Oryctolagus cuniculus: one gene and its partners. The protein of the gene in region 3 interacts with the protein of the main gene of each other region in a biochemical or structural test. Links are inferred from orthologs where the notes say so. Each region holds a gene or a part of one and is shown on either strand. Other genes may lie near its edges. The genes, in order: MCM5, PRKCD and STAT1.

What was found.
Region 1: the proteins of STAT1 (region 3) and MCM5 form a complex in vitro, tested with the Homo sapiens proteins (2 studies listed by BioGRID). The link is inferred for Oryctolagus cuniculus from reciprocal best matches to the Homo sapiens genes STAT1 and MCM5.
Region 2: of the proteins of STAT1 (region 3) and PRKCD, one has a biochemical effect on the other in vitro, tested with the Homo sapiens proteins (2 studies listed by BioGRID). The link is inferred for Oryctolagus cuniculus from reciprocal best matches to the Homo sapiens genes STAT1 and PRKCD.

What each region holds. Positions count from the first base shown.
Region 1 is NC_091442.1:112,980,071-112,983,812, reverse strand, and holds part of MCM5 (DNA replication licensing factor MCM5), read right to left. Parts: intron 3,105-3,742; coding exon 2,962-3,104; intron 1,088-2,961; coding exon 960-1,087; intron 358-959; coding exon 256-357; 3' UTR 1-255. UniProt on the Homo sapiens protein: Acts as a component of the MCM2-7 complex (MCM complex) which is the replicative helicase essential for 'once per cell cycle' DNA replication initiation and elongation in eukaryotic cells.
Region 2 is NC_091441.1:96,637,568-96,641,309, forward strand, and holds the start of PRKCD (protein kinase C delta type), read right to left. Parts: upstream 2,556-3,742; 5' UTR 2,355-2,555; intron 1-2,354.
Region 3 is NC_091434.1:49,332,821-49,336,462, reverse strand, and holds part of STAT1 (signal transducer and activator of transcription 1-alpha/beta), read right to left. Parts: coding exon 3,556-3,642; intron 2,575-3,555; coding exon 2,499-2,574; intron 1,608-2,498; coding exon 1,505-1,607; intron 1-1,504. UniProt on the Homo sapiens protein: Signal transducer and transcription activator that mediates cellular responses to interferons (IFNs), cytokine KITLG/SCF and other cytokines and other growth factors.

The DNA of each region.
Region 1 (3,742 bases), on a different chromosome or scaffold from region 3:
CGGAGCTCCAGGGCCTGTCCGGGAGCCCACGCGGCAGACCCGGGTGAGCCACCACGTGCAGCAGCAGCCCAGACGCCCAAGCACACAACACTTTATTAACCCAACAGATTCCAAATGCACACTGTCCGGAACTGCCAGAGGCAGCTGCTGGAGGCGGCGAGGGTGGCGGCGGGGCGGCGGCGGCGGCGATGGCGGTGACAGTGGTGACGGCGGCGACAGTGACGTCCCCGGCGGCAGCCAGCAGCAGGCGCGGGCTCACTTGAGGCGGTAGAGGACCTTGCGCTGCAGGCGGTGCTGGATCTCGCCCCGCCGCAGCATGAGCTGCAGCACCTTGTGCACGGCGTGCTCCGGGTATTTCTGTGGGGACACAGCTGGGTGCAGGCGTGCCTCCCCAGGGAGCCCACACCCCCTGTTCCCGGGCGCCTTTCCCACGTGCTCCCCTCTGACCCCAGGAAGGCTCGGCATTTCTGAGACCCACAGCACACCAGCCACTGTCCCGACTCTTCCCCCAAGAGCTCATCTACCCCCAGCAACCCTAAGCCGCTAGTCCCACGCCTACAGGCGTGGAAACTGAGGCACAGAGTGGCTAAGTCATCTGCTGAGGGTCGCAGAGCTCAACCTCATCGAGTCCTGTGGCTACAACTCAGGCGCCTGACTCCCCAACCTCTCCAGGCCCCACTTGTGTAGACCAGGTGTGCCACCACCTCCCACACAGGCCCCCTCAGGCGCACGGCATCTGGAAGGCCCCATCTCCTCTCTGCGGGGTCAACAGCACCCTCCCCAAGCAGCGGGGAGCTCACTCGACTCTGCTCCCCACCGTGAGAAGCCAGCGAGAGGGAACCCAGCCACCTCTCTGCAGGGCCAAGACAAGAACCACTGCTCCCGCGGAGCTGCGTGGAGCGGAGCAGCCCCCGCGCCCTGGCCCGGGACCAGCCGCCACGGCCGCCCCGGAGGCCCACCTGCTTGATGAAGTCCTGCACGATGCTGTGCTCCGACACCTGCGAGCCGATGGCAAAGCGGCGCTTGAGCTGCTTCTCGATGCGGCTCAGCATCTCCTGGTCCTCCTGGCTGGTGAAGCCCTCCACCCCTGCGGGCGAGAGGCAAGGTGGACGGGGCCCAGGCGTCTGCCCGCTCTAAGGAGAGCCTCTAACCCCAGGAAGCGTGTGGCCTGAGAGCCAGAGCCAGCAGTGCAGAGGCACAGAGGCTAGCAGGCCGACTCTGCACTGCCACGTGCAGCCGCCAGGGGGCCCTGCGGGAGCAACAAGCACGGCCTGGGGAGACAGGACCTCAGACAGGACCCTGCAGCTGCCGGGGCAGCAGGAGCCAGTCCTGAAGCAAGTCTGAGCCGGAGGGGATCTGTCAGGATCTGAGGGGAGCAAGGAGGGATCTGTCAGGATCTCCCAGGGGAGCCAGGAGGGATCTCCCAGGGAAGCCAGCAGGGGATCTGTGAGTGATCTCTGAGGGGAGCCAGGAGGGATCTGTTAGGATCTCCCAGGGGAGCCAGGAGGGATCTGTTAGGATCTCCCAGGGGAGCCAGGAGGGATCTGTCAGGATCTCCCAGGGGAGCCAGGAGGGGATGTGTCAGGATCTCTGAGGGGAGCCAGGAGGGGATCTGTCAGGATCTCCCAGGGAAGCCAGGAGGGATCTGTCAGGATATCCAAGGGGAGCCAGGAGGGGATCTGTGAGTGATCTCTGAGGGGAGCCAGGAGGGATCTGTCAGGATATCCGAGGGGAGCCAGGAGGGGATGTGTCAGGATCTCTGAGGGGAGCCAGGAGGGGATGTGTCAGGATCTCTGAGGGGAGCCAGCAGGGGATCTGTCAGGATCTCCCAGGGGAGCCAGGAGGGATCTCCCAGGGGAGCCAGCAGGGGATCTGTGAGTGATCTCTGAGGGGAGCCAGGAGGGATCTGTCAGATCTCTGAGGGGAGCCAGCAGGGGATCTGGGAGTGATCTCTGAGGGGAGCCAGGAGGGATCTGTCAGGATCTCCCAGGGGAGCCAGCTGCCCTGGAGCTGTGGCAGGTGCCCGGAGCCCCCCCCCAAGGCAGAGGCTCACACTCTCCACTTTGGGCTGCTGGTGGTCTCCCCGATGGGCAAGCCACTCCCTCCCCGGCTTGCTGACCTGGCATTCCCTCCACCTGCGCTCCCCTCACACAGGTCAGCTCCCGAGGCCCCGCTAACTCTACTGGACCAGCTGATGAGAACAGCGCCCCTCCTCCTACACACTTGGCTCTGCAATCATTTGCCCCCAAACCTAACCTCGACATGAATTCCCATTTGCTTCCTTACTGCATCTCCCCCTCTAGAGTGAGAGCTCACGAGCCTAGGCACCATGAAACAAGGGCCAGGGGCCAGGGCTGTGGCGCAGCGGGTTAAGCCGCTGCCTGTGATGCCGGCATCCCATACGGGTGCTAGCTTGAGTTCCCACTACTCCACTTCTGATCCAATTCTTTGCTAATGAGCCTGGGAAAGCAGCAGAACATGGCCCAAATGCTTGGGCCCCTGTAACCACATGGAGACCAGATAAAGCTCACGGCTGTGGTCTGGCCCAGCCCTGGCCGTTGTGGCCATTTGGGGAGTGAACCAGTGGATGGAAGACCTCCCCCCCATCCCCCTCTGTGTGTACTCTTCAAATAAATAAGACAAATCTTAACCACATTAGGGACACAGCTAAAAATATTCTGAGCTCTACAAAGGGGACTGACAAACGTTCTAACTAGAATTACAGTTATTCTAACAGAATTAAAATTATTCTTCCTGAGCTGGGTCTCACGTGTCCAGGGGTCCAACAGAAGCGGCCGCCTCCCCTCGGAGGCGGGCGGCTGGGGAGACACAGGGAGGTAGGTGCTGCTGCCAGAAGGGAGCTCAGAGCAGCCCAGCGAACGCAGGGCAGCAGCGCCCTGTGCAGGCCTGCGGCGCGCCGGGGCCCTGCCACACGGCTCCAGGGAGCCCACACCTGCTCACCTGACAGGGTGCCGGACAAGGCGGCATCCAGCGTGGACACCTGGAAGAGCCGCAGAGCCTCCTCCACGTCCGCCTCCGTGGCGAAGGGCTGCAGCTTCATCTTGCTGAGGGCCTCGGAGATGCGCACGATGGCCTCCAGCTGCCTGTGGGCGCCAACGAGACACGCGGGGTGGCCTCAGCCCTGCGTCCCTCCCCTGCCCGCCACTGGCACCTGAGAGGTGCGTGCCCTAGGGGGTAAGACTGCAGTGGGCACTGCCAGCTATCCCGATCTTCCTAACAGGGCCCTCGCTCAGTCTAGCACCCCCGCCTCTCCTGCATCTACGCGTGTTTGTGGGACCAACGTGCGGCCAGCAGGCTCTCAGTCCAAGCACCACGTGGCAAGTTCAGGACGCGCCCTGCAAGGGGAACCCTTCTGCCCCGTCCACTCCCGCTGTTTAGGATGTGGTGGTGATGGCTGAGTTCCCGCAGCCGCCCCGACCACGAGACAGCTGAGCAAGAACCGTCGCACCCGTCCACCACCACAGACCTCCACGTTTTTATGTCAGACAGAAATAAACTTCCCATTCTCTAAAGCTACTTTATCACATTTCTACCTCATCAGTGCCAGAGCCCAGATCCAGCCCCTGGAGGTCTCACTCTTACCCACTTAGACCCTGCAAACTCTCCAAAAATGAGGCAGAGTTAAGAGCTGAGATCAAAGCAAAGGGGCAGGTGGTGCGCAGCAGGTTAGGGTGCCGCTTGCGACGCCTGCAGCCCTAATTGCAGGCCAGCTGCTCCGCGC
Region 2 (3,742 bases), on a different chromosome or scaffold from region 3:
GACCTTTCTCTCTCTGTCTCTCCCTCTCTCTGTAACTCTTTCAAATAAATAAAACAAATCTTTAAAAAAAAATTTTGATAAACGTAGCTCTGGCCATATGTTTAAAAATGAACAGTAACTCTTTATTACTTATTTAGTACCTTACAACCAAAGTAATATGGGAACTGGGTGGTTCTCACTTTATTATCTTGCCCATTATAAAGCTGAAAAAACTGAGCCTGGAGCTACTATCCTAGAAGGAAGGAATGGCGAAGACAGAAAAGCGCCCTGGGTCTCCTGGCTGAAAGGCTGAGCACATCTTCTGCAGGCCAGATCTCCACAAAGACTCCCCACCCCAGAGGGCAGCCCCCACCCTGCTGGAGGCCTCAGCACTACCCCTGGGGGGGCAGAAGTACCGTAGGGCATTATCTTTTTGTCTGTGCTTTAAATTATTTCTAATTTTAATTTAAACTCTAATTAGCTGTGCCAGCTAAATGATGTCAGCGCCCTGCACACAGCCAAACCACCTCCCAGCACCCTCCCCCCATCACTGCTGGGGCAGGGGCTGGTGAGGCAGGGGCCATCCTGCAGGCAGAACAGAACCCCATACTCCCTTGGCAGGCAGCTCCCTCCCCAGGGATGGGCAGGAAATTAGGTCGGGGACTATCTGGGCTTTCATTAGCCCCAGCTCCCGGACCAATGGGGACCACAGGGCTGGGGCGGTCACCAGGTGAGATTTAGCAAGTGCTACACCCCCGCTGTGGGGTGCGCCCTGGGACCTGTAGCTGTCCCAGCTCTCTGCGTGCTGCAGAGACGGACACTAAGCTGGGGAGAGGCCTGGCTTGGGTCTCCTGCTCTGAATGAGTACAGCAAGGGCTCAGCCGCGTCCTTCTGAGGCTTGGGGACTGCACTACAAACCCCGAGACTTGCCTGGGGCCTTCTATACCGCCCCAGGAGCCAGGGCTGCTCCCATGTGCAGCCTGTACACACACACACACACACACACACACTCAAGGCCACCCCCAGGCTCACACGCTGAGGCTCTCACCTTGCCTCCTCGCACTGTCACCACACACCTTGTCACACCCCCTCCTGTCGCTGGTACCCACGCCCAGCCACTCTCAGTCCCCCCGAGTCGGTCACTCCCCAAGCACACGTGTGCAGCTTCCTGCAGACTCTGAGTGTCCCCCCAGTCATCAGCTCCCATACCACCCCACGCAGCCCTGTCACACGTATGCCTCACATCACCACGCTGCCAGGAACGGCGGCCCAGCCACCTCCACATCACACACACAGGCACAGCCGCCCTCTGCCGGCCTGTCCTCCACACCCCAGCTCTGTCCACAGCAGGAAGGAGGAAACCCAAGGGACCAGTCCCCTCCCTTGGTGACCAGGTCAGCCTGGGCACGGCAGCTCTGTGGCAGAGGGAGAGGAAGAGCCACACGTGAGTGCACACACACACGCACACTCTCACACAGGAGCGGGGCAGGCCGGCACCCCAACACCAGGCTCTCCCACAACTAGCACATCTAACACACTCTCATGGCCAGGGGGTCCCCATGACACATGGGGTGTTGCAACACACGACTGCCAGACACACACTGACCCCAACACAAGACACACACTGTGACAAAGACAGCGTGGACCTCCCAAGGAGGCAGAGATTCACCACACACGCCCACACCCTGATGCAGGCAACAGCGAGCGAGCGCAGAGACAAGGGTTCAGGCCTAGGGGTAACTATGGGAGGGCAGAGAAGTGACCGGGTTAAGTGGGATGCTCAGTGGGGCTCTCCCCTCCCCAGAGATGGAGCCCAGAGGTGGGGGCAGTCCTCACCTCCTTCATCCACCTCCTCCCCTCAGCGGGCTGGGGCCCCCCAAGGGGAGTGGCGTCTGGGTTGGGGGGCGGGGACCGACCTCACCAGGCCCGGGCCACCAGAAGAGGGGGCTCAAAGGGGCGAAGGGTCTGGACGGGCAGGGGGCCCGGGGGTGAAAGGAGGGGGAGGGGTCGCCCCACCCGAAGCCTGCAGGAGACAGACACTGCGGCGATCACTCGCGCCGGCGCCAGGAGGCGGCGCCGCGGGTCGCGCCGGCCCCGGGACCCAGCAGCGGGAGGGGAAGCCCGGCGGGTGGCCCGGCTTCGGCCCCCGGGCGGGCAAGATCGAGGGGGCGGCCTGGAGGGCCGGGGGACGGACCGACGCCCGGAGGAGCCGGGCACACCCGCGGGTGGAGGCCGGGAGCCGTCCGCGGCGGGACCTTCGCCGGCCACAGCTCAGTTTCTCAGCTTCAGAAACGGGAACCGGAGCGCGGAGGAGAGGGAGGGGCGGCGCGTCCCGGAGCAGCCCGGATCCCTCGCCCGGCCGGGCTCTCACTCACCTCTTGAGGGGCGCTGGCGCCAGGGGTCTTGGCGCCGGGCTCTGGCTCCCGGGCGCGCCTGGACGGAGTCGGAGCGGGCTCGGCGCGGGACGGCCCGGGTCTCGGCGCGGACCGAGGGACGCCGAGGGTCGCTCCGGGAGCCGGCGCTCTGCCGCCACCTCCCGTATCCGCGCCGAGGCACACGGAAGTGCGAGGGGCGGGGCGGGGCGACCTCACCCAGGTGCCGGCCTGGCCCCGCCCCCCGAAGTCCACGCCCCGAGAGGCCCCGCCCCGTGCGAGGCCCCGCCACGGGAGCCCGCGGGGCGCGGGTCGCTTGGAGTCCTGCCCTCGCCGTCCTCTGGGGCCCGCCGCGGCCCGAGTTTCGCCGCCAGCACGCACGTCGGCCCCCCGACTGAGGAGGACACGGAGGTCCGTGGTGGTCATACCACGCCCCGGCCGGGAGGCGCCCGCGGGGGTTCCCCGGGTCCGCACGCCCACGCCCGGGACTCCCCACCGATCAGCTGGCCCGCCTTGTCTGGCCTCGCTCCTTCCCTTGCTGCTGGCTACAGCGCGGACACGGCCGGGATCAGAGCCCGCCGCCAGGCCTGCCGGCCCAGCACTGTCCTGCCCTGCCCTAAAGACCGAGCTGGGAGGACTCCAGGACAAGGCTGTGCCGCTGCCCTTTCTGCTTGTCGGATATCTGAGGAGCTGCCCCTGCCCCGACTCCCCGCCTCCCGCTTTGCTGCCCCCACCCTCCGGAGCTGCCCATTGGCCTTGGCAGGCCTCTGAGCGTCCTTCTCACACGTGGAACTCGGATGTCAGCTGTAACTCACCCGTTCCTTCATTCATTCACCAAGTGTCCCCTGGCCCCAAAGCCTGGGGGCCAGCTGGGGTCCAAGAAGTCCATTCTCCTGAAATGTCGCTTCCCAGCGGCAAGAAGGAGAGTTCCAGGTTCCTGGGCTCTGGGCGGGCACCACCATCACCTTGAGGGAATGGCCAGAGTCCCGACAGCCCATGCGGCTGAGGCCTGAGGGATGGACGAGCGGGACAAGTCCTTGAAGAGGCCTGAGCTGAGCAAGGGGCCTGTGGCAGAGGCAGGCTGGGCCAGGGCTTTGAGCTTCTTAAGGTGCAGTGGGAGAGTGGTGAGTGACAAGCTCAAGTGTGCTCCTGAAGGGATGAGCGGGGGCAGAGAGGGGGAGATGGGATGGCAGTGGAGGGGCTGGCTCCTTGTTCAGGGGGGAGGAACCTGGGTTGAGGTTGTGGAGGAGGGACAGGGAGAAGAGGCCAGACCAGGTGGGTTGCAGGGTTGTCAGGAGCGGGTTGTCCACTGAGACTTCCAGGGATGGATAGCACTGGCAGAGACATGGAACTCAATCCCATTTCAAGTGCAAAGAGGGGGGGTCTGGGCT
Region 3 (3,642 bases):
GCATCACTGTGACAGAAAGCAGTCCCGCGGCTGCACGGGTGGAGAGAATTAATCCATCTTATTTCCTCAAGGTCACCAGGCATAACGGTGATGACGGAGTTGGACTCTCACTGCCAAATCCCCAACACAGGCCCCTCATCCACGGGCCACGCTGCCTCCTCTTAGTACACAGAGGGAAACGCTTCCCGAGGGGCGCACGTTTTGAACAAAGCAAAGACCGGCTTCTTGCAGGAGGCTGCCCAGGGCGGTCGACGCGGCTCAGTCGACGCGGCTCGAGTACGCTCCCCCTGGGTGGACACGGAGCCCTCCTGTCAAGTGACGCAGCAGGGGGAGGGGCTCTGAGCATGGGAACAGCAGCCGCACCTGAGTCACCAGGACCAGCTGAGTCCCTGTCCCGGAAGTGCCCCGCACACCGCTTAGGAAGTGTCCCATCAGGGGCGGCGCTGGGGGGGACGGAGTCACCCCACAGGAGGCTGCTGTTTTGTTCTTTGCCAGCTCTCAGATTTCCTGAGGGGGGCTTTACGCTGGCTGTGTTTTTGTCCAGGCGTAACAGTGCCCCACAGAGGATGCTGGGGTCCCTGGAGAAAAGGGTCATTCTACACTGGCCAGCGGGAACAGGACAAGCTGCTCCCACACTAGCCAAGCGCTTTCCTAATGACCTCATTCATCCTCAAGATGCGGGAAAGGTTCAGACACGCGACCTCCAGGCTTTAGCCCATGCTAGAGCAAGAGCGTCCACAGCTACTGCCGAGGCTGCCCGGGGGCAGCGGGCATGGCCGGGCCCCCGCCCACTCTCTCCTCCTTCCCCTCCCCCCTGCCTTCCTCTCGCGTTACTGAGCGCACACATTCTTTACTGGGGACCAAGTACACAGTGAGGAAGACAGACCAGGAATGACTCACGCAGGATATTTTTTTTAAAAAAAAGCAGGGACCAAAGGTTTAAACATGAACTGGCATAGCTCCATGTGGAAAGGAGCTTAAAATCAAAACAGCATCAGCAAAAACTCAGCCAACCAAAGGAAACCTCGGAGAGGCAGGATTTCAGGCTGCAGGGCACACAATGCACTTCCCTGGTCGCTTGGAAAACCATGCCCCCAGGGAAGATTCTCTTTTGTGTGGCCAGTCCTGCTCTCTTCCCCATCATGGAGCTCATTAACTGTTTCAGTCCTTGAGCTGCTTGCTTCTGCACAGGCCCCTCCTGGGTCCTGGACGCCGGGCAGCCGCGCTCTGTCACTACTGCTGGCGAGGTGTAACCCTGGGAGCACCCCACTGCACGCCTCGCTCCCTTCCCACTCCTCGGGGACCCCGGGACGCGCTCGGGCGGACGGACGGGGTTTTCCCAGCAGAGAAGTGGCAGTGACATTTCTACAGGGACAGCACCACAGGCCGAGGGCGAAACTCTGAAATGGCACTGACGTCCTGGAAGGTGCTGAATGCCAGGACCACCACCCCTTGGCAGGCACACACTCACCGAGGCTGGGGGCCCACCTGCCGCGGTACTCACCATACTGTCGAATTCTACAGGGCCCATTATCCGAGACACCTCATCAAACTCCTCAGGAGACATGGGCAGCAGGTTTTCTGTGCTCTGGAGTCTAGAAGGGTGACTACAAGGGGAGAAAGGAAAGGGAGATGTTACGGTCGACCATTAGGAACGCGGTGGTGCGAAGGGATGTGCCTGGCTCTGGTCTGTGATTGGATTATCACTCTACATGTTTATTTTGGGGACGTTTCTACACTTGAAAAGCATAGCTGCAAAAGTACAGATCATATTGCGGGAGGTGAATGCGCCCAGCCCGGCCCCTGGAGGAATGTATTGGCCTCTTGAGATGTGAGCGAGCAGCAGCCAGCCGGGAGCTTGCGGCCTCTGCTCTGGCTACGCCTTGGCGTGAGCTGCGAGTGTGTCACCTCAGGTGACCGTGCCTCGGGGCTTGCCCTGGACAGAAAAGCACCAGAGAAGTTTCTGGGGAGTCCCTCATCCCTACCTTGAGGTTTGTATGCAGATAAAGCTGCTCCACAGAGTGGTTTTACATGATGGCTATACATCCATTCACCCCAAGACAGTGCTGCACGCCAAATAACTGACAATGACTTTTCCAAAATTTTTTCTACCTTTTACAAAATGAAACAACAAAATAAAAGCAAGCGGAGAAAATGTATCTCAATCATTACTTTGGCCTTTTCTAGATTGAAAAGAACTACTTTCTCACTCTGATCAATTTTTGTTCATTTTATTTATGCTGTTTCAAAGGATTCGTTTTGGGAGAATTTATATACCTTAAAGACAACTTTGTTTTTGTTTTTGTTTTTGTTTAAATGCAGTAAAATGCTGGGAGTCAGTGACACTGGGATCTCTAGTTAGGATCTTTCCATCAAGTCCACCTGTGAAGGCGATAGCAATTTTAATGGAAAAGCGAAGTACAAGCATCTTCAGCAGGCCCCAGCCAGGAGCAGGCTGGCTTGGGTTCTAAACATGCCACTCTTCCGTGTGCACTTACACTTCAGACACAGAAATCAACTCAGTCTTGATGTATCCAGTTCCTTTGGGGCCGTCAAGTTCCATGGGTTCTTGCCCTAGAAGCAAACACATCGTGTACACTTTGCGTTAGAAGAAGTTACACGGTGAAGGATCAACTGTTTATGGATCAAAATGCCACTGTTGTCCCGGACAGCTTAGAGGCCTGTAGCTTTTAAGCACGATGACCTCGCTGCCTGGGTCACCTGGAATTCCAGCGGGAACCCATAAGCAACTAGAAGAAAACGGGAGGAGATCTCAGCAGCAGTCTAACTGGCAGCCCTCTCTTTTCAAGTTTTGAAGTCCTACATGAAGCTGGAGCCCTAAAACACACAAAGGTCTCTGATCGGGTGGTGCTAGCCTGGCGGATGCATTGCACAATTATCAAGACAGCATCTTCACTCCAAAGTTACTGTCCTGATATTGAGATTTCTGACTCAAAACTAATTAGCCTTGTTGGTGTGTTCCAAGCCAGATGGGTCTTACTGGGAACTTTCCCGAGCACAATTCAGGGCTGACCGTGGAAGCAGATCTGTGTTCTAAGACAGGTCTCCTCTTGATGGTAAGCAGTAATGACGACAGGATCTAGTGACTAACTGGGTCAGCCTGAATCAACCACTCCACGCCTCCCTGGCCTCCATTTCCTCAAGTTTAACACGAGCAAGTTGGCCACGTCCCCTACACTTTACCGCTTTCCACGTGGAAAAAGTGATGTGTAACAGATACACAAACCACAAATGGACATTTCCAACACCCCTAAAATAGGAGATTAACCATTCGTTTCTCACTGACTGTATCAGACCAAATAATGACTGTACTTCAGCTGCACTGAGCTCACACCACCCTGTGCATGCATGCATGCAGCCTGTAGCAGTTCAAAGGGAGTGGGGGGTTCATGTCACAGGCTGGGTGGAGCCTGTGCTGGCTCCTTCCCCTTGAAGACAAAGGCAGTGTGGCTGCTGACGCTGCCGGCGAGCCAGCCCTTCAGCACCAGGGGACCGGGGGACCGCGTGTGCTGCTCTCCTCGCAACCCCACTCACCTTCCTTTGGCCTGGAGTAATACTTCCCGAAGGCATGGTCCTTGTCAATATTTGGATACAGATACTTCAGGGGGTTCTCAGGAATAT